Linked DNA regions of Sus scrofa. The protein of the gene in region 2 interacts with the protein of the main gene of each other region in a pairwise test. Links are inferred from orthologs where the notes say so. Each region holds a gene or a part of one and is shown on either strand. Other genes may lie near its edges.

Region 1 (7,899 bases), on a different chromosome or scaffold from region 2:
CAGCTCCTATTCGACCCATAGCCTGGGGACCTCCACATGCTGCGGGAGCGGCCCTAGAAAAGGCAAAAAGACAAACAAAAAACAAAAAAACAGTGAAAACTGAAGATTGTGTTTCCAACTGTGGGCAGGGTGATTCCATTATTAATACTGGAGCTATATTTTATTTTATTTTTTTGTCTTTTTAGGGCCACACCTGTGGCATATGGAAGTTCCCAGATTAGGGGTCTAATTGGAGCTACAGCAGCTGGCCTAGGCCACGGCCACAGCCATGAGAGATCTGAGCTTTGTCTGAGACCTACACCACAACTCACAGCAACGCCAGATCCTGAACCCACTGAGTTGGGCCAGGGATCAAACCTGTGTCCTCATGGATGCTAGTCAGATTGATTTCCACTGAGCCACAATAGGAACTCCTCTAAGCTATATTTTAAACAAATAATTATCATGGTCCAAAATAGGATAGAAAGGAGTCTTAATTCTGCTGGAAAGAATTACGGTTACTCTTGTGTTAATTTTTTTTTAAGGCATAAAGATTTAAATATGACTTCATGCCACTGCAATGAAACATAAAAACAGTTTCATTTCATTCTACAGAACTATACTCATCTTTAAATGGAAATAAAGGCAATAATTAACATATTTTCCTTCCCATTTTGCTTGGCTAGCTTGGACTCATTCTTTAAATACCTGCTTTAAAAAACAAAAAATCTCTTTATCTAGAAAGGCTTCTTTAAATTATCTAAAACCAGGGCAAGAGAATCTACTGCCTGCTCCAAAAGACAGTACAGTATACTTCTCCCATCACTCTAAGTTACATAGCCTGTGGTGTTTTATTGTTGTTGTTGTTACTTAGTTTTCCCCATTACACTGTAAGCTCCATAAGGGTAAGGACTATCTGCCACTTCAAAACTGCTTCAGTATTTAACACCTGACCTATAAATAATAATAGACGTGTGGAACAAAAGAACTATAATTTTTAAACTTTTCTATTCAAGAAACTGTACCAATTTCCTACCTTTAAAACAGCTCATCCGTGACATTCAGTGACTAGCATTCTAACCAACTAATAGTCAATAGAGAATTACTTTTTAACTACCCAGCCTACACAGGACAGAAAAGACTAGATTTAACAAAGCTTTAATGCTATAAACACAAACATGAAAGCAGTAAATTGACTATAGGGTTTTTATACCAGGGGAAGTTTTACTGTTTTTGTTCTGTTTTCCACACTGAACTAACAAAAATTATTTTTTTCCCCCTAAAAAAACCAGTTCAAGATTAGGGTCTTAAAACTACAACATAATTATAGGACTGTTTTACTGTTTATCTGTGTATCTTATCTGGTTACACATAAAACTCTAAAATAGAATAAAAAGTAACTATTGTGGCAAACAGAAGAGGTGAATTTGAAGACAAGCACTATTTTAAGTGTGGCTAACCCTAAATGAGTACATTATTACACAAATTAATATAACTATCATCTGTTAGTGATTACTCATAATAAAGTATGGCAAGAAAAAACAAGATTTGTGAAACAATGTGTTAAAATAGTCAAATTTGGAATAAAGTCTGCAAAAGCAAACAGTCCCACTTGATTCATTATGGATATTTCATTTGGCCCAAAGGAAAAGATATGTAAGTTCATTTCAAATAAGCAACACCCCTGAGCATGTATGTACTTAAATGGAAGCCTGTTTATGATTTAGTTCACTACAGTCCTAACAGTAGTGTCTATATTTCAAGAATGGATCTAGCAATCTAATAATGATTTCCTGTAAGTGTTTCTCATATTGCTGATCATGACTCATTAATGGGATCACAAACAGCAGCGTTTGTAAGAAAGGAAATGGAATAGGATATAAAATATCAGAGTAGAACACATGTAGCAAGGGAAAGAATTGTTTCCTGAAACTTTTGATTCAGTTTGTGTGTGTGACAATGTAAAATACATTGTTAGGAATAGGTATGGGCTGCAAAAGAACAACAACAACAAAAAAGGTGTGAACACTACCCTTAGAGCATATGACCTCAATTATCTCTTCCCTCCAAACACTGCCAAAGTAGAAACTCATCACAATTATGCTCAAAAAAGCAAAGTGACATTAAAGGAGATATAGATTATACTGTTCAAGCCTTCACAAACTCTAACATCAAACTGTCTGAGTTTAAATCCAGGTCCCACTATTTCTGTGTGAACATAGGCTTATTTAAGCAGTATGTGCTTCATTTTTGTCATCTGTAAAATGGGAATAAAAATATTTTCCAAGTTGTGGTAAAAATAAATAATACATTTAGTAAGTTCTTAACATATGCCTACCATCAACAGAACAAACCGAAAGAGTGATACATATTAGAAATACAGCAAGAAACTTAATAAAAGCTTCGGTGTACTATCTTTGATGTGTGTGTGTGTGTGTTGCTTTTTCATTTTATCTATTTCTGTATTATATGAATTTTATAATGTACGTTCAACACATATTTCTAATGTACACAATATTATTACCTTTACTTTAAAAAATATCAATAGTAGGTATCTAGGCAGTGAGATTAAGATCCTTTTTGCTTCATATTTCTTTGTATTTAATAAAGATACATTAAGCGTTTTAAAATTAGTCAACTACTTGCTCAAAAAACAAAACAAAACAAAACCCCCCACAAAAGTGTATAGTGGTCCAGGGTTTAGGAATTAACATTCTGGGGGGAGAAGTTACCTGCCAGATGCTTCTCACTAAATCCCCACACAACCTTAGTATATCATTTTTGCCCACGAGAAAACAGAGGCAACAGAGATAAGGTAAACTGCGTTAGGCAACTACAAATAGCAGTGTCCAGAAATTCAAAGCCTATATTTCTTCTGCCATCATATAATGCTTCCAAATATTTTTTCGGTTGTTTCATATAGGCATGTCTTGAGCTACCCAATTAGACTGTAAACTCCTTGAAAAGGAGGGAAAGTTTCACTAACTTCATTTATGTATCCCAGGGGCTAAGAGGTAAATACTTGCTGAGTTACACTGAACTTCTTTTGGTCTAACTGTCCTCATGGGACATACTCTGGTAAAAACGAAATAAATTAGCAAACAAATGACAAAACCACTCTAAGACTGTTCAAATCTAACTTTATTCCTACACAATTGGAACAAAAAAAGTTTAAGTATACCCATATCCTGAGACTACCACTAAAGGAGTTTGGGGATGGGTACAAGGATTACTGTGCAAACACTAAAAAGAATGGATTCACACACACCCCTACCACGCCCCCGTCACCCAGGCACTACCTAAAGAAAGGAACCTCTAGTCTTCCCAAGAGGTGCTGATGACCCATAACCACGCCTCCACTGTTCCATCATAACTTGTTTCCTTTCCCTACCCGGACCACCCCTACCACCCACTCCCCGGTCCCAACATCAAAGCCCTTAATAAGCAATTTAAAAGTCTCTGACCTGCAGCGAAGTGCAGGGGAGAAGATTTCCGGCCGGCCATGTCCTTAGCATTCACGTTTGCTGCGTCCACCAGCCTCTTTACCCGGGACACGTCCCCATTGCGACAGGCCTCCAACAGTTCCCGGAGGGCCCCGCTCACTGCTGAGACCCCTGGCCCAGGTCCGGCTGTCCCAGGCCCCAATGTTGCTGTGGTGCTAACTCCGGCCGCCTCGGGGCTCTCCGCCAAACTCGATCCGGGGGAGGATGGAGAGGAAGAAGAGGAAGAAGTCGGGGAAGAAGAGGACGACGGTGAATTGTTACTGCCACCGCCGGCTGGATTGGGAGCGACACCGACGGCAGATGAGGCGGAAACCGCCGGGACCACTGGAGCGGCGGCGACAGTACAGATTGTGCTGGTGGTACTGCAACAGCTGCTACTGTCAACCGGGTCCGGGGATCGGGGCCTGTCGGGCGGATCCCGACTGCCATCCCCCTCCGGCAGCGCTAGGCCGTGCCGCGGGGAGGCGAAGGGTGCCAGGCCACCCACCGTAGGGGAGGCTGGGGTAGTCCCCGGGGCCAGGCCTGGGCTGAGTGGGGGGGGAGGTGGCGGCGGCGGCGCCGAAGCCCCTGGGGCGGGCTGGAGCTGTTGTTGATGATGGTGGTGATGATGCTGAGAGCGACGCGACGCCGCCATCTTCAGACTCCCCCAGCTCTGTCACTGCGGCAACGGCCCCACCGCCCGCCCTCACTTCCGACTTCTGGACCAATTAGCACCCAGCGCACAGGAAATGATGCTAGGCAGAGTGGGCGGGGTCAAGTAGCGGGAGGGAAGTATTTGGGAGCTCCGAGCGCCGCCGCGGGAGGGGCGTGGCTTGTGACTGCCGGGGGGCAGGGGGGGCCTTGTGACTCCTTGGCGGGCCGGCTGGAAAAGTTTGAAAGTTGGAACCGGCCTGGGCCTAAAAATGGGAAATTTTTCCTGCATTTCTCACGTTCAGCCTACTTATTTTGCTCCGTTCCCTCCTGTTGCCAAGTCTCCTTTGGTCTTCTTTGTCTTGCTCAAGAGCCTGGTACTGAGGTGGAACTTTGCAAGGTGCGTATGTGTCGTTTCTCATCTATCAAGTGTCCTCGTCTGAAAAAGGGACTCGTATCTAGAATTGTTAGCAGGATTAAGTGAGCTAACATATATAAAGTGCTCTGTCCCTTAATAAAGCACAACTATAATTAGCCCACTGGTAAATTTTTTTTAAATGCAGTCTCTCCCCACCCCCACCCCCACCCTCCAGTTATTCCCTTGGTCTCTATACCCCCTCTCCATAAGATTTCGTACTTTATGTACTTCCTTAACGCCCCATTTGCAAATGGTGGTTCACATTGCCAGGATTGGAATTCAGACTACCAGAAGGAGCTGTGTAAATTTGGGCAAGCTATTTAAATTAACCCCTCTGTGTCTCAGGTTCCCCGCTGCAAAGGGGAATTGATAGTTCAATAAATGTTAACTATTACAATTACGGGTTTTTCAGTTCTCTCTGTAGTTTTGTTTCTCACCTTAAGCTTGACTCAGATAATTACAAATATGTTTTTTTTTTTTAATTCATTTTGGCTGACCTTCTCTATTCCTGTCATCCCTCTTCTCTCTCCCTTCCAAACTAAGAAAAAACCTGACTTCTCCATCCATCACTCACCTTCAGAAGCCATCCTTCAACAACTACTTTTTCTTTTTTTCCTCTGCCTATACTTATTTTTTTGTCTACCATCAGAAGAGATGGATCAATGAATGGCATAATCTCGTAAGGTCTCCATTTCCTGCCTTCTGTTTAATAGGAAAGTAGGCATTATGGAAGTTTAGACAAACAGCATTATTCCAAGAGAGTAGACACAGATGGAGATTGTGTCTTAAGGAAAGCTCATTTTAAATGAGTCAAGTAGAAATTTTGATTGGGAGAATACTAAACTATGTGATAAATTGTCGTTTGACATATTCATTATTAAATGTAATTAGTGTGATGCTAATATTCCCATCTAAATTAATAGGTAAATTTATTTAACACTACCATCTAAATACAACAAATCAGGAACATAATATTATTGGTGGACATTTATTGTCATTTAATTAAAATTATCCATTTGTTTTATAAATTTGGGCCATTGTTCACATATTGACAAATGTGTGGCTGGATAGGAAAACTCTATCAGTGTGACTAAAATCTGTCCACAACATACATTTTCCTGGTTTTGAACATTAATGCACAACACGAGGTAGCACTGAGGAGTATGGGTGAATCAACATGATGCATTACATGTCCACAACTCACTCACCTTGTGCCCCCCATCTATGACCTTCTCCCTGAGTGGGAGGCATAAAGAATTATCTCACCTAGCATCCTGATGGCCAGTTACTCATAGATCACAAGAAGCAGTAATGTTCGTCCTAATTCAAAATGGATCTATTACATCTTTTTATCAGTACCAAATAAATTCAAAAGTTTTGGAGGGATAGAGATAAAAAAAGCTGAATTGCCTAAAACTATTCTACTGGTAAACTATGTCTGAAAATGCATTCAATAAATTGGAAATTGCTTCTCCCTCCACCACTGAAAATTAGTAAAAGTACTTAACATTAAGTATTTATAATGTTTGCGTTTATATGGACTAATGTTGAGCTCTAAACATGAAAGACCAGATATCATTACCTAATCTTTTATAGCTAAACACAATTCCGTGAGGGATGCACTGTACCCTCATGAAAAGAGCAAAGCGTATAATAAAACAAACCTGGGCTTGAATCACATCTCTGATAATTCCTAGTTGGCTAATCTTGGTAGCTGTGTTTTAGATCTGTCATTCTAAAATTCTGATTTTATTGTACCATTGCCATGAGGAATAAAAGACCTAGGTGTTTTGTAAGCACATCTTGATTGTTAGTTTCATGATCTTATGTACTATGCATAAAGTGTTGATAGCCATTGTTGATAGCTCTCGCCTCACAACTTCCTTTATAAAAAAGACAGTGACAAAGATAAATATTCACTCTTTTGTATGTAACTGGAATCTTAAGCAAAGAAAAATCAGGTTTAATTATTTCCTCATCAGAAAATTCGAGATTCCTTACAGGCCCTTTCTCCAAGAATTATATTGTTGACCATCATATTTGTGTAGCATCTTACTATTTTCAAAAATGTTTTCAGAGAAATCATGTCCAAGTGATATAAAAACATGAGCCCATAATACTCTCTTAAGCCATATTGCTGACACTGAAAATGGAGTGACCAACTCAAAGGGTGCTCATCTTCTGGGCTATGTTGTGATGTTTGTTTTTCTCCCCATGGGACACACTTTGTAAGTTACACAGTCTCCATATTTCATCTAGACTCGATGTGGTTATTCCATCCACATGCTTCCCAATGATCTGCTCCAAATTCAGGTTCACTGGTAGTGTCTCCAATTTACAAGTCCACTTATTCTTCAGTGCTCTATGCCATGCCTCTTCTGCAACCACAGCACAAGCTAAAGCTATAATTTGGTGGAGGCAGTGCTATTTCCTCAGCTGGGGCTTAGAAGAAGATAATATCCTTATGTCAGAAATGCCGATGGTGCAAAAGGCCCAGATTTCTCTATGATGGTATTACCACTCAGCCGAAAGAGTGTTTAACTGAAGTTTCATCCAGAAACTCAGAAGAATCTTTTCTTGTAAAGCTATGGGGGCAGGGGGCAACAATTTCACCAGCTGCAATCATGCTAACCTCATTGTATCAGAGGAAATTTTATTAGAAAAGCAAAGCAACTATTGCAAGGCAGGAAAGTTACAGTAATTTAAAATCCCCTATATATTAGTTTACTGGCAACCCCCCGTTTAAATTTTCAGCTGCTTTATATCTTTTGCATAGCACAGTCCTCTTCATGTTGTTCACAAGACATCTATAGTCTGCCATCTGATAACTTGGATTTTCTCCTGATATGGCCTATACACTACAGAGTAGTCTCTTGAACGAAGAAATGTTTGTTGTAGGCAGAGAGACAGTATAATACAGTAGTTAAGATTGTGGACTCCGCATTTAGACTGCTTGGGTATGAATCCTAGTTTTGTTACTAACTAGCTATGCGTAATTGAAGAATGGCCCATCCTTCATTTTAACAGGGGTAAATAAAACTTATTTGCTTTGTGGTTAAAAAATGTTTAAGCGAGGTTTCCTACTCAATACATTCTTTCCCTTGTAAGCATTTTTCCTAAAATAATTAAAATCGTACATATATACCGTGTTAAGGATTAGCATATGGCTTCCTCACTCGAAAGAGATAAACACCTGCCATCCTCCAAGGTCATAAAGTTTAGAAAAGTTCCTAAAAGCGCTGGAACGTATTGACGAGGAATGCTATAACTAGCCACCAATGCGTATGTAATGATATAATAGCTCAGGAAACTTTGGGTGTAGCCAATCAGAATAGGGCTGAGGCTGCTGCAAACCAATGGACTGTGAGG
Region 2 (7,887 bases):
ATCAATCAGGCCTACAAACAAGGGTTGAATGAATAAAGCAGTATCTTTCAAAAAAAAAAAAAAGAAAGAAAGAAAGAAAGAAAATTTCTAACTTGTCTGTTCATATTTGAGATGGCAGAATATGAGGGCTGGTGGGGATGTGGAAAATGAGGGGGCTCTCCTGTGGCACTGAGCTGTGAAAACACTGAGCCTCTGTGAGAAGAGGTGGGCCCTGCCTCCCTGCCTGCCAGGCCTCTGACATCCAGCAAAACTTTCTACAATGATGGAAGTCCTCTCTGATCTGTCCAACACAGTGCCTAGAGAGCCCTTGAAATGTGGCTACTGTGACTGAAGAACTGAATTTTTTTGAAGTCTGATTTAATTGTAATTAACGCAAATTCAAAAGTCATGTGTGGCAACTGGCCGCCATCCTGGGCAGCACAGGTCTAGGCTGCTGTGACAGGCTAGAAAGAGATGAAGCTGGTGAAAACACTTTGGAAACACCAAATCTTGATAGAAAAGGTACGGGCTGAATGTATTATGAACCTGATATTCTCAGTATGGACATCCCTAAAAAAACTAAAAACAGAGCTGCTGTGATCCAGCAATCCCAGTCCTGGGCATGTATCCAGAGAAAACCATAATCTGGAAAGACACATGCACCACCAATGTTTATACCAGCACTATTCACAACAGCCAAGACATGGTAGCAACCTAACTATTTATCAGCAGAAGAACAGATAAAGATGTGGTACATTATGGAATACTACTCAGCCATGAAAAGAATGAAATAGCGCCATGTGCAGCAACACGGTTGGACCTAGAGATTACCATACTAAGTGAAGTAAGCCAGACAAAACAAATGCCATATGCTATCACTTATATGTGGAATCTATAAAAAAATGATACAAGTGAATTTATATACAAAACCAAAATGGCAAAAAAAACCCAGAAATAGACCCACAGACATAAAGAACACACCTGTGGTCGCCAAAGTGGAAGGGGAAGGGATGGATAGGGAGTTTGGGATTAGCAGATGCAAACTATTATGTATAGAATGGACAGACAACAAGGTCCTACTGTAGAGTACAGGGAACTAAAAATCAGTATCCTGTAGTAAACCAAAGTGAAAAAGAATATGAAAACTAATTTTTTATATAGGTACAACCGAATCACTTTGCTGTAGAGCAGAAATTAACAACACTATATATCAACTATACTTCAACAAATTTTTAAATTTTTAGTTAAAAAATAAAAAATGAAGTAAATAAAATTACAAATTTTCTTTAAAAAAAAAAACTGTGATTCTGAGAGATTTCAATTTCCCAAGAGACTTCATTCACCACACATGAAAAAAATTGAAACCTGCAGATTTGACTTCACTTGGGGAAGAAGAGTAGCCAGTGTTCACAGATACCTCTCGTCAGAACAGAGCGGCTGGCAAGACCCCTTCGTGCACAGCTCAGAAAACCCACTTCAACCCTCCAGGGCCACTCTAGGTTCTGTATCTCCAGAGCCTGGACATGCAGGCAGAAATCAAGGTTGCTCCTGTGTTGCGGAGGAGATGGCATTCCTATCTCCCACTCCTGACTCACAGGGACCAGCGGTGTCCTGCCTTTTCCACTGACCTTCCCTGCATTCTCCCTGCTACAAAAACAGGTCCTCCCACAGCAGTTCTCAGACAGAAGTGGGGGTTGTTCAAGTTGGCTGATGGTTGGTAAAACCAACTGCTGCTGAAAACGATGGGGACAAACTAGGACCTGTGAAGAATGTTCATCTCTTTACACTCAGGTTGGAAGATACTCATGAAATTCAAATTGAGGTCCTGTCTCCCAAGATTTTTCTGAGCAGGAAAGCCCTTCCCAGTCTGAACAGCTTTTCATGGAGTTCCCATCGTGGCTCAGAGGTTAACGAATCGAACTAGGAACCATGAGGTTGTGGGTTTGATCCCTGGCCTTGCTCAGTGGGTTAAGGGTCTGGCGTGGCCGTGAGCTGTGGTGTAGGTTGCAGACATGGCTCGGATCCTGCGTTGCTGTGGCTCTGGCGTAGGCTGGCAGCTACAGCTCCAATTCGACCCCTAGCCTGGGAACCTCCATATGCCGCGGGAGCGGCCCAAGAAATGGCAAAAAGACAATAAATAAATAAAAACAGCCTTTCATTACCATTGAGATGATTATATTCCACGCACAAGCAGTCGATAAATAAAGGGGTAGAAGCGGGGTAGGGGTGTGGGGGGAGGGAAGGGTTCTCAGCCCAGAAAGTCAATAAAGATCTAAATCTTCCTAAGGAAACACACACTATTTCCAAGCACCAATGTAAGGAGCTCCCTTAAAATGCTTAAGAGATTTGTGTGACCTCATTCACTCCTGTCCATTGAAGTACACAGCCAATTTCCCCTTCAGTCCTTTTAACTTTTCCACAGACACATTAACTTCAGGGCTTAAGTCTGTGTAAAGCCCTTGCTTTTGGCCCCATGGAGGTTCCATGATTAAAAAAATATATATGAAATTGGATCCACATGTGTTCCACCCACAAGCTGGACTCAGTGGTGTATTTATTCTGTCAGACGCAGGCTGTTGCTCAACTGCGAAAGTGAATGCCAGCAACCACCTCTTAAAACAAAATGAACCAGCCTGGTGTCAGAGAGACAACGCCACTTCCCCAAAAACAAGCACCCAGCTTTCTGTACCTCAAGTTCAGTCTCCCGTCTGTTGATATCATCCGTGGATTGATTTAACTTCTCCAGTTCTCCCTGATGAAGAAAAGGGAGAGAAAAAGCTTTCAGGGATTGTCTTTTGTTCTGGTATGACTCTGCCCCCCTCCCAACCTGCAAAATTACTCCAGCATCATTTGCAGGAAGAGGAACCAGTCAGTATTAATTTTCAAGGAAAACAGTTGAGCCTTGGCTAAAGAACAAATGAAATGTCAGCATTTCTGAAACCTTTATCTGGGTGGTAGCCCTTCTGAAAATGACTAAGGTCCGAGGAATTTTCTTTTCTTAGAAGGTCAAATATTTTATTCCAGGTATGTGCCTTCAGGTAAACTCACCTGTTACAATGATTTAAGGGCTGAATCCAAACAATAACCCTCTGCTTTAGAGCAAAAACTTGCAGGAAAAAGAAAAAAAAAAAAAAAAAACCCAAACCAGTAAGAGCAAGCAAACAAAACCATGCCAAAAGTAAAAACCCAGTGAAATGATTTATATCAAGGCAGAATTCTGGCACTTACTCATCCATGGTTGAGTATTTTTCTTTAGAGACGAAAATCTTTTCAAACTGCCAATTATTCAACCTTCCTAGCTGTTTACAAAACAAACTAAAACTAACATAAACATTGATCTTTAAATAACATTTACAAACTGACATTTTGTTTAAAAAAAAAAAAAGTGCCCAGTATGAAGTTAACTCATTTTACTCTGCAAACAAAGGATCTTGTCAACAGAATTCCCCTACCCAGAAAACAAAATTTAGTAGTTCAAACTGATTTTATTTAGAATTCCTAATGTAAAGATTTTTCCACCTGATCTTTGTCTTGCTAACCTGCCGTAACAATTCATTTAAACGCCAACAGCTGAGTTAAATGAGCTTTTAATTGATCTGCGCACTGAAAAACCAATTAGGTCTTCAGAAATCGCATCGCGTGCTGCAAAACAATATTTATTTTAAAAAATGATTTATGGAAAGAGTCTTGGAACGGAATATGCTGTGCTTTTTCCCCAGAGGGTGAAGAGGTTAAGCTGTCGCTGCTAGATCTCGGCTTGGAAACTGTCTTTTAATCATCTCCCAGAGAAATGGAGGCAAGGAAGCCAGGCCAATCCCCTCGCCTTCTCGCCACGTTAGCTTTGCGCTGTTAGCCCCCAATTTCTGTTCACTGCCGACCTCAAAAGGAGGAAACGCTGGGTTTTAAACCATTTGAGGCCAAGCGGAGGGCTGAGCCGTGGTGACAATAAACCCTTCGTCCTGCTAACAACGAATCAAAGCAAGAGGGAGAAGGCTCAGGCAGGCTCAGGCCGGGCACCTCCGCCAGGTGAGTGCTCCGAACCCCAAGCATGAGAGGCCACCCTGCTGCAGGGGCGGCGACGCCCACCGCCCCCGGCCCGCGCCCACGCGGCCCTCGGGCTCCGGGAGCCCGGCGTGGCGCCCCCGCCCCCTTTTCTCTTTGTTGCACACCCTCCCGAGCCGCCGGACACGCTGCGGCGACCCCACGGATCCTGCGGGGTAATCCCCGCGATAGAGTCAGGCCGCGTCCACGCGGGCACCGCAGCCTCCCAGGAACCGGGTGAAGCCGGGTACTCTGACTGTCTCCTCCAGCCCCGGACCTACGCGGCCACCTCTCCCGGGTGCAAGCACCGGGGACCGCGAGGCGGGCTCAGTGCCATTGCCGGGATCCACGCGCCCTACCTGTATCCGGGGGTCCACTTCTTCCTCCTCCTCCAGCCCTGGCTCCATCCCCTCCTCCTCCTCCTCCTCCTCCGAGTCCCGGGCTGGCGGCGGGAGCTCGGCCGCCTCCTCCGGCCGGCTCCGCTTCGGCGCCGCGTCCATGCGGGTGGCCGGAGAGCGAAGCGAACGGCGGACTTCGGAGCGCAGGAGTGGCGTTCGCAGGCTGGGCCGGGGCCGTCTGGCCACCGCCCGGTGCGCTCTGGAAGCGCCGCTTGCTGCCGCGGGTCCCCGGCCCCGAGCAGGAGGAAGTGGGCGCGGCCGCCCCCTGTCCGCCGCGGCAGTAAGCGCAGCGCCGCCCGCTCCGCCCCAGGCCGGCCCGCCCGCCCTGCGCGGCCCCAGCTATGGCCCCGGCACCCGGGCTCCGTCACAAAACCTCACTCCCGGAAAACCTTAGGGTCGTGAAATGGAGGAGCCCTCACCCCTTTTAACTTAGCAGCCCGGAGAGATCACAAGCTCCCCAACGTCAGCCGCCTGGTGACAAGAGTGCTTTTCTCCCTCCCTCCTCTGCCCAGGCAAACTAACTGCTTGGAAGGGAAGTTAGGGGTATTGCCACTGTCTGAAGTCACCTTTAGAAGCTGGTATTCAGTGACCCGGGACCAGTTTCAAGACTCACTCAAACTCCTGTATACACTGGAAGCGCTTTGCCCCCGTGGGTGACCTTGGGAATTGAATCCACCTGAAGATTTCCCCAGAACAGGGAACTACAACATATACTCACATAAACACAAAAGGATAAAGAGAGGAGCCAGCTGCAGCTCCATGCGTGGATTCTTGGTCCAAAGGCTGTGGCCCCCACTGGGCCAAGCTACGTGCTTTTCGATGGGTTAGGTGATCCTCCCTGAATAGCCAGGACGCATGGAAAATCCACAGATCAGTGGGTGGGTACAGCCTTCTCAAGAAGATGTGAGTGTGTGGAGTTCCCATTGTGGCTCAGTGGGTTAAGGACCTGACAGTGTCACTGTGAGGAGATAGTTTCAATCCCTGGCCTCGATCAATGAGTATGGTTCCAGCCTTGCTGCAGGCAACCATAGGTTGCAGATGCATCTCGGCTCCCACCTTGCCTGTGGCTGGTGGTGTTAGGGACCTAGCTGCAGTGCTGATTCAACCCCTAGCCCAGGAACTTCCATATACTCCAGGGGTAGCGGGAAAAAGAAAAAGAAAAAAAGATGTGAGTGTAACCCCTGTTAATGGACACACTCTGTCCAAGGATTTATGAGCTAGTAAGTTTTCCTGCCCACCCAAACAGGTAGGGAGCCAGAACTTACTTGCCTGGCAAACTCAACATCACAAAAAGCCAAAGAATAAGGGTATATCTGTGCTTTTATGAAATGTCAGATCCACTGTGATGTCAGGGGAGCAGAAAGTCAGATGACTTTAGTGAAGCAGGCAAGGACATTGCCACTGGCCATTGCTAATGTCTCCTTCACTACAAAATTGCAGGGTGTACACACTTCCTACATGGAGGCTCGTGGCCCATGGGCTCTGTGAGTTTGAAGGGAAGACTTGCTTGAGAAAGGAGCTTCTTTCTGAGAGCCTGTCATTAAAGCCAAGCTTGGAAAAACCTGCTTATAATGGTTTTCTGAAAGGCTTAGTTGGAGGGGGGTGTTTACTCTTTGGGCAGGCTTCCACCCTACACACTCAGACACTGTGGTCCACTGTCAAAGAACCTTTGTTGTCTCCTGGAAGTAGAGCCTTGGGTTTGTTTCTAAACAGGTCACACCTGTTCATTGTTCTTTAAATCAAGGAAGCGTCAGCAATTCTTTGAGAGATGTTCTCAAGCTCCTTGCTAAACACATGGTTGCATTTCGTTTTCCAGTGGTAGGTGAAGTCAGGATCAAGACGGCCATTAAGAGTAACTGTTGTGGCTCAGCGGGTTACAAACCCAACTAGTATCCATGAGGATACGGGTTTGATCCCTGGCCTCACTCAGTGGGTTAAGGATCTAGCATTGCCATGAGCTGTGGTGTAGTTCGCAGACGCAGCTTGGATCCAGCATTGCTGTGGCTGTGGTATAGGTCAGCAGGTGCAGCTCTGATTTTTCCTGTAGTCTGGAAACTTCCGTATGCCTCAGATGTGGCCCTAAAAAACAAAACAACAACAACAACAACAAAAGAGTCACTTTAGGACACAAGAGCCACCAGTGTTTCCTTGGTGGCTCAGGATTGAGCCTATAACTGAGCAGTTTCATCCTGATTGTGAACAAACTGAGACAGAGGTTGAAAACAAGGAAAGTGAGGTCAGCCCTGGTTCTAAATGCTTCTCAACTCAAACAACAGCCTCCAAAATACATTTCTATTTAAGCTTGGATCTAAGAGCAATAGGGTGGCTCAAAATGCCTCTATGGGACATAGGGAAACTGCTCTAGAACCTCAGTTTAGACTTTGGTTGTGGATGTTGTTGTTGCTCTTTTAGAAGACCTGGACCAGCCATAGCATGAATCCCAAATAGTGTTCTGAAGCTAAAATAAGGAAAATAAACCACTGCGGTACGATGTATTTCATTACATACATATGCACATCGCTGTATAGGAAAAAGGTTTAAAAGGAAGGATTCATACCCAACAAAGGATGGCTAGCCCTGGAAAAGGGAGGGAGGGGCCAAGATTGGCTAGGATTGGGGGGTGGTCAAAGGGAACTTTTAATCGCTCGATATTTTCTTTTCTTTTCTTTTTCTTTTTTTTTGTCTTTTTAGGACCTCACCTGCAGCATATAGAAATTCCCAGGCTAGGGGTTGAATTGGAGCTGCAGCAGCTGGCCTACACCACAGCCACAGCAATACCAGATCCAAGCCAAATCTGTGACCTATGCCACAGCTTGTGGCAATGCCAGATCCTTAACCCATTGAGCGAAGCCAGGGGTCAAACCTGCATCCTCATGGGTACTAGTCAGGTTCTTAACCTACTGAGCCACAATGGGAACACCTCAATCATGTTTTCATTTTTTACAAAGAGGGTAGGTATATTTATGATTATTTGTATATTTCTAAAATAAATTTAAAACAATGCATAATGTATTCATTTTCTACTGCTGTGTCACAAACTACCACAAATTTAGTGGCTTAAAACAACACTCATTTATTGCCTCATAGTTCTGTAGGCCTGACGTTCGGACCTGGTGTGACTCTCTTCTCTGCTCAAGGTCTCCCAGACTGATTGCAGACATCAACCAGCCTATATTCCTTTCTGAAGGCTCTGAGGAGAAAATCGTTCCAAGCTCATTCAGGTTCTTGGCTGAATTCACTTCCTTGTGGTTGTAGGACTGAAGTCTTCATTTCCTTGCTAACTACCAGCCAAGGACCAACCTCAGCTGCTGGAAACTGCCTGCATTCCTGACCACTTGGCCCCTCCAACTTCAAAGCCAGCAGTAGAGATTTCCTGTGTGTCGAGTCCCTCTGATACTTCAATCTCCTCTTCAGGAAGACCCCAGTCCCTTTGAAGGATTTGCTTGATTAGGTGGGGTCCACCCAGAAT
Region 3 (7,100 bases), on a different chromosome or scaffold from region 2:
TGCATAACCTGCAATGATGGGAAAGGAATTAGAACTACTAATCCCTTAACTTGTGCCTATCCTCATATCCTGCCACTTTTCCTCCATCCCACACACCATTACACCAAACGGCTAAGGTCTAGCCATACCACACAGCATTTCTGAGTATGCCTTCCAAGCTTCACCAGAGACTAGTGCCTTCAAACACATGGCTGCTCCACTTAAAATGCCCCTCTATCTTATTCCACTTATTAAACTTATATTCATTTTTTGATACTTACTTTAAGCATATTTTAATCCGTGATGCTTTTTCTACTCCCAGTAGCTCAAGACAGAGCTCTCATAGCATCTTATCCATTGGTACTGATTAGTATAGCACTTACCAGATGGTGCTGTAGTAGTAACCCATATTCAAAGCTCTTGAACTTCTTGAGGTCAGGAACTGTGTGTCTTACTCATATTTATATCTATAGTACTTAGCATACAGCAGAGACTCAGTACATGTGTACTGAGTGAATGAATTCATATATTCACGCTCTTTTTTCCCCCAAAGCATCACAGTCAGTATTTTAGAAGAAAAGGCAGAGATAAGAGAATAGGGCACAAATAGAAACAGCATCAGCAATCACAACCATAGCTAATTAAGCATCTACTTTTGTCAGGCCCTATTCTAAGCTAGTACATAAATCTACTCATTTATTTCTCACAGCAACCCTGCCATTCCATTTTACAGATGAGCAAACCAAAGCACAGAGAAGCTAAACAATTTACACAGCATCACAAAAGTGGAAAACAGCAGAGCCGGCTTCAGAACCTTTATGCTAGAACAGAAAGGAACTAAAATGCTCCTGGTACCAGAAAGCTGTGTAAAGAACTAAAGTGCCTGTTGTTTTATTCATTCTCCTCCCCATCAGTGCACATCCTGCAATGATAGGGAAACAGGAGCTCCCTTACAGGTTGCCATAATTTTCAAAGTACTGAAGACCAGAATATACGTAAATTCTATGCAGTCCTGTGTTTGATAGGCTTGCAACATCCTTCCACATTTTCATGAGTAAGCCTATCCAAACAGTACAGCCTCTGAATTACAAATCCTAATAACCTCTTGCAGAGGTTGCCTCAAGAGCTGAGTAAGCAGAAAATACAATCCTCTGAACTTACTATTTTCTTCTTTTGTCAAAAATATGTGTCATTAGTGATGGGTTATTCTTAAAGTGCTTTTACAAAACCATGACTTATGTCAAATAACATATGGTTTGGGGAGGGAGGATGGAAAATAGATTATTCCTCCTAAAAGTCTATTAATTTTGTTAAAATTGGCCTCCCCTTTTCTTAGGTATTTATAAAACATGTCATAGAAGTATTTAATACATACATATATTTTTTTGATACTTAAAAAAATTTACTTAGCTTGTTGTTTGTTCCTTAATTCTTTGGTTATAGTAATTGAGATGGTACAGTGTAATAATATGCCTATAATTACTGAGAAAGAAGAAAACTAGCCTTTTCCTTTTTTATCCTTGAAATAATTTCATTATATCTTCTAGGAATTTATCTAACTAATATCTTGAAAACAGAAGAAGGCAACCCTGAGGTCCTAAAAAGGCATGGAAAAGAGCTTATAAACTTTAGCAAAAGGAGGAAAGTGGCAGAAATAACAGGCGAGATCCAGCAGTACCAAAATCAGCCTTATTGTTTACGAGTAGAATCAGATATCAAAGTAAGTTGAATTATTTGAGGATACATTTTTATTTTTATTTTTTTGTCTTTCGTCTTTTGTCTTTTTAGGGCCCCACCTGCGGCATATGGAGGTGCCTGGGCTAGGGGTCCAATCAGAGCCGAAGCTGCCAGCCTATGCCACAGCATTGCTGGATCGAAGCTGAGTCTGCGACCTACACCACAGCTCACGGCAATGCCGGATCCTTAACCTACTGAGTGAGGCCAGGGATCGAACCCGTTTCCTCATAGATGCTAGTCAGGTTTGCTAACCACTGAGCCATGATGGGAGCTCCAAGGATACATATTTCTGATTAAGTTTATAAATACCTGATAAGAGGCAGGTTTATTTCATAGAAGAGAAAAAGGAAAACAAAACTTAAATAATTCCATCTTAAATTGTTTTCATGAGTTTCAAACTGAATTTAAAGTATTTAATGTTAAGAGTTGTTTATTTCTTTGCATTTTAGAGGTTCTTTGAAAACTTGAATCCAATGGGAAGTAGCATGGAAAAAGAATTTACAGATTATCTTTTCAACAAATCCCTAGAAATAGAACCACGAAACCCTAAACCTCTCCCAAGATTTGTAAGCATTCATATATTTATTTTTCTTTCACATTTGTGTATTTTTTTGCAGTTGTCATGTATATCTGGCGGTTTATAGTTTTCTGTAAAAGCATTCAGAGATGAAGTACACATGTAATGGATAAAAATAGTGAATAAGTGCTTAATAAAAATGCTCAGGATTATTCCACTTAGTTCCAAGTAAATGGACACTAATATTAATGTGAATAAATCCTAATATAATAGATGAAGAAGTTGCACAAACATGCAAGATTTTTTTTAACCCCCCACCCCAAAATGTTCAAGATTTTAAGAGCAGAAAATTTGGTTAATTTATATTAATTCACTTATAATAAATATATATACTTAAGACTTTTTTTTAAATAATGGCTTATGAGAACTTTTAACCATGAATCATTAGCTGTAAAAATAACAGGTTTGGCTAAAGATACTTTGGGGAGGGAAATAAAGTTTCCATTGTTTATTACTTATAAGTGTCTGGCCAAATTTATGTACAGTATTAGCATCTCACAGTTCTGAATAGAATCTCTGTTATTCATAAGAAAGTCAGTAATCAAGAACTAAACATAAATGGCTTCTAAGTAACCAAGAAAATTTTCATAATGTCTGTGATCTAAAGCTTATGAAATTACCTCACAAGAAAATTTCTCAAGGCCTAAACAGTTTTTTAAAAGGTGGATTAAAAACAGCAAATTGGAAATAAAGCCAGAGAAATAGACAACATATCTTAGAAAGCTTTCCATCTAAAAATATCAAAATAACAAATACTCTGATATTTATAGGGCTAAGACTCAGTTATTTAAAGAAATTAATTACCTAATAATTTAGATAGCCAAGGCTTTGTGAAAATGGAATGCTAATGCTTTTAATTTGGATGCTTTGATTTGATTTATTATGTAACTTCTTTATTAGTGATTTGTGGTTTTCCTAGATATTTGTTGAATTTTACTAGGCATGAATAGAAAAACCTTTTCCATTATGGTGTTGTAAATACTTGTGTTTCTTTTGATATGTCTGCAGCCAAAAAAATACAACTATCCCCTAAAATCTCCTGGCGTTCGTCCATCAAACCCAAGACCAGGTACCATGAGACATCCCACACCTCTGCAGCAGGAGCCAAGGAAAATTAGTTATAGTAGGATCCCTGAAAGTGAAACAGAAAGTACAGCATCTGCACCAAATTCTCCAAGAACACCGTTAACACCTCCTCCTGCTTCTGGTGCTTCTAGTACCACAGATGTTTGCAGCGTATTTGATTCTGATCATTCAAGCCCTTTTCACTCAAGTAGGTGCTCAAGTTTTAAGTGCTTTAAAGTAATTGTTAGTATTAAATGCACTAGAGGTAAAAAGTCTGTATATACATTTTTTTTTGGTAAATTTGTAGATAAGTCAAAAATTATTGTAAAAATATAAAACAAATTTTAAACTTCAGCAACTTAGAGTTTTTTTTAAAAATCTGTTAGAAAAGCTTTCTTTAAATGTATTATACTTTAATAATAGACCTGGTGATGAAATTGATAATTGAAACTTCATTTGAGCATTTGTTTTCAGTTGATAAATTGTAAAGGCATCTCCAGCTTCCAGAGGAAACAAGGATAACACCTAAAACCTACATGAAATGTCAGTGATAGTTTAAATGCTGCCTCCAAAATTGTATTTGAATACTACTCAGTACGTGGTCCCTTTCCCACCAAACTCTGTAGTTTCTAACTGTGCAGTGTATCAAATTCAAACTCCTATTTAACTCTTTCTTAGTCTACATCATCTAGCAGATGGTATATAGTGCCTGCTAATACACTCCTATGCTTTCAAGCCCAACCATACAAATCTCACAGACTGCATACTATTGCTCATCGTTTTCCTATTTCTAGATCAGTGCTGTCCAATAGAAGTATAATGTGAGCCACATGTGTAACTTTAAATGTTCTATAGCTACATTTTAAAAAGCAAAAAGAATTCAGTTAAATTAATTTTAATAATATTTATTTAACCCAGTATATGCAAAAATGTTGTCGTTTCAACATGAAATCCTGAAATCCATATAAAAACTCATTGAGTTATTTTACATCTCCCTTTTTGTTCTAAATTTTCAAAATCCAGTATGCATTTTATACTTACAGCATGTCTCAATTTAGACTAGCCACATTCAAATGCTTAAAAACCACATATGGCTAACGGCTACCAAACTGTACAGCCCTTTGAAGAGGCTACTTTTTGTATCTAGAGCACCCTGCTTCCATTAATTTTTTTAATCATTTTTATATGGATCTTTAAAGCTCTGCTAAGAACACACAACCTTTTTTCATTTATTCATTATTAAATCAAAACTTGAATCCAGTTGTCTTTATGAGGTTATGAAGGTTAACTCTCATAACCATTTCCACATGGTCTTCCCATTGGCTGTCTGTCTAGCTCAGTGTACAGTTCAACTTCTGCTCTAGTGTTTGACATAATAAGATCCAGTACTGAGAGGCAGCATGACGTCATTATTGGAGGGGAGCTTGAAAATCACTGATGTAGGAGTTTAGGAATCCTAGTTTGTCATCTCAGTCTGCCAGTGAACTTTCTCATTTTAGATAAAAAAACTTTTTCTGCGCCCTCTAGATCAAACTAGATCTCTCCTTTTTCCTTTTTTTTTTTTTTCCTTTTTTTTTCTTTTTTTCTTTTTACAGCTGCACCTGCAGCATATGGAAGTTCCCACACCAGGGGTCAAATTGGAGCTACATCTGCTGCCTAGGTCACAGCCATGGCAACACCAGATCCAGGCTGCATCTGCACCCTACACCACAGGTTGCGGCAACACCAAATCCTTAACCCACTGAGCGAGGGATCCAACCTACATCCTCACAGAGACAACTTTGAGTCCTTAACTCACTGAGCCACAACAGAAATTCCCAAACTAGATTTTTAAGGTTTCTTCCAACTCAGAGAATCTAACTTTTTCTTTTTTTTTTTAGGGCCGCACCCACGGTATACGGAGGTTCCCAGGCTAGAGGTCTAATCAGAGCTGTAGCCACCAGCCTACACCACAGCCACAGTAATGCTGGATCCTTACCCCACTGAGTGAGGCCAGGGATCGAACCTGCAACCTCATGGCTCCCAGTCAGATTCGTTTCCACTGTGTCATGACAGGAACCCCCAAGAATCTAACTTTTTAAAAAAGTATTCTTTGGAGGAGTTCCTGTCATGGCTCAGTATTAATGTCATGGCTAGTATCCATGAGAATGCAGGTTTGATCCCTGGCCTCGCTCAGACAGGGTTAAGCATCCAGCATTGCTATGAGCTGCAGACCCAGCTCAGATCTGGTGTTGCTGTGGCTGTGGTATAGGTTGGCAGCTTCAGCTCTGATTGGACTCCTAGCCTGGGAATGTCCATATTGCCATGGGTGCAGCTAAAAAGACCAAAAAAAAAAGTATTCTTTGGAGGTATGTTATTTTGAGATTTGATCCGGAATATATAAATCCTATTTATTTATTCCTGTGCTGTACATATATTTGTAGTTACAAAGCAGTCTGTTTAACTTTTTACCATCTAAAGTGTATTTATTTTGAGAATTACTGTATCTTGGCTTTGTTTGGCTACAGGAGGATTATGGAGTCATGCATATAGTAGACTATCGGATGTTTTTTATAAGTTCAAATATAATAGGTAAAAAAATTCCTATCTATTTTTCCCAACTTGTCAACATCCTATATTAAAAAAATAAAACCAGCATTTTTTGAAGTATAACTGACTTAAAGTCATTATTTATTCTGACCCATATAACTGTTTGCAGTGTTTTTTCCTAGAGCAGATGGCTGTGATCTATAATATAAAGATTCTCACATAAATGAATTATAGAAATCACCAGAAGCCATCAATTACAAATTCTATTTCTCTTAGTTTAAGTAGCTAAAAGTGGAAGAGGTGGAAAAACAGGAGAAAAGCTTATTACATTCCCTACTAGTGATAAATCTTTAAATAATTAAACAGGGAAAAGGGAATCATTTTGGAATGCAGTGCTCTAGATCAGTGCTTTTGTCATATGTGGCATCGGAATAACATTATGATAGCTGGACAAGAGAAGAAACCATCATACCAGGAGTTAGGCTTTGTAATCTTAACCCTGAGGACTTTCTCAATTTCTCTTTCTTTGTGTTAAAGAAAACCCCTATCACTCCTCCTTTGTTCTCAGTAAAAATAGAAAATAGCTGATTTTGAAATTAAGTAAGCCAGCATAATATAAAACCATGTGTATGTTCAGTTATTCTGTACTTAAAACTCATCAGTGCCCTGTGTATCTTAGAGGTCCTCATTTGTTTTTGACCCCACTCTGCTTAACAAATCTGCTAGTGTTAAGGGGGTGGGGGTCACTAGCATGCCCAGCTTGGTGGTCATTGTGTTGCACTAGACTGAATACCTACTTCCTTGTTTCCTTCAGGGCCTGGCAGGAAAGAGCTGCTGTGCATTAAGTCATCTGAACATGTTTTACTCAATAAAAAGCCCAGAAACCTCCATTGCTTAAGTCTTTCAAAAGGCAAAATCAACTAGAATTTTTAATGTTATAATAGTACTTTATTGCTTCTTAGATTTTTTTTCAAAATAATTTTAAAACAAAAATTTTTTCTGTCCAAATCTGTTGCACATCTCATTTCTTGTAATCTTTTTTTTTTTTTTTTTTTTTTTTTGGCCACGGCATGCAACAGCTTGATGTGGTATCTCAGTTTCCAGACCAGGGATCGAGCCCAGGCTGCAGCAGAAAAAGCATTGAGTCCTAACTACTAGACTGTCAGGGCATTCCCGACATATCTCTTTTCTTGCTAAGCGCTTAACACTTCTT

What was found.
Region 1: the proteins of SH3BP5 (region 2) and TNKS interact in a two-hybrid assay, tested with the Homo sapiens proteins (2 studies listed by BioGRID and IntAct). The link is inferred for Sus scrofa from reciprocal best matches to the Homo sapiens genes SH3BP5 and TNKS.
Region 3: the proteins of SH3BP5 (region 2) and SOS1 interact in a two-hybrid assay, tested with the Homo sapiens proteins (2 studies listed by BioGRID and IntAct). The link is inferred for Sus scrofa from reciprocal best matches to the Homo sapiens genes SH3BP5 and SOS1.

The regions. Positions count from the first base shown.
Region 1 is NC_010457.5:55,677,364-55,685,262, forward strand, and holds the start of TNKS (tankyrase-1), read right to left. Parts: upstream 4,182-7,899; 5' UTR 4,117-4,181; coding exon 3,444-4,116; intron 1-3,443.
Region 2 is NC_010455.5:2,580,929-2,588,815, forward strand, and holds the start of SH3BP5 (SH3 domain-binding protein 5), read right to left. Parts: upstream 4,674-7,887; 5' UTR 4,521-4,673; coding exon 4,380-4,520; intron 2,732-4,379; coding exon 2,669-2,731; intron 1-2,668. UniProt on the Homo sapiens protein: Functions as a guanine nucleotide exchange factor (GEF) with specificity for RAB11A and RAB25. Inhibits the auto- and transphosphorylation activity of BTK. Plays a negative regulatory role in BTK-related cytoplasmic signaling in B-cells.
Region 3 is NC_010445.4:101,347,348-101,354,447, forward strand, and holds part of SOS1 (son of sevenless homolog 1), read left to right. Parts: intron 1-1,526; coding exon 1,527-1,699; intron 1,700-2,165; coding exon 2,166-2,282; intron 2,283-3,301; coding exon 3,302-3,566; intron 3,567-7,100.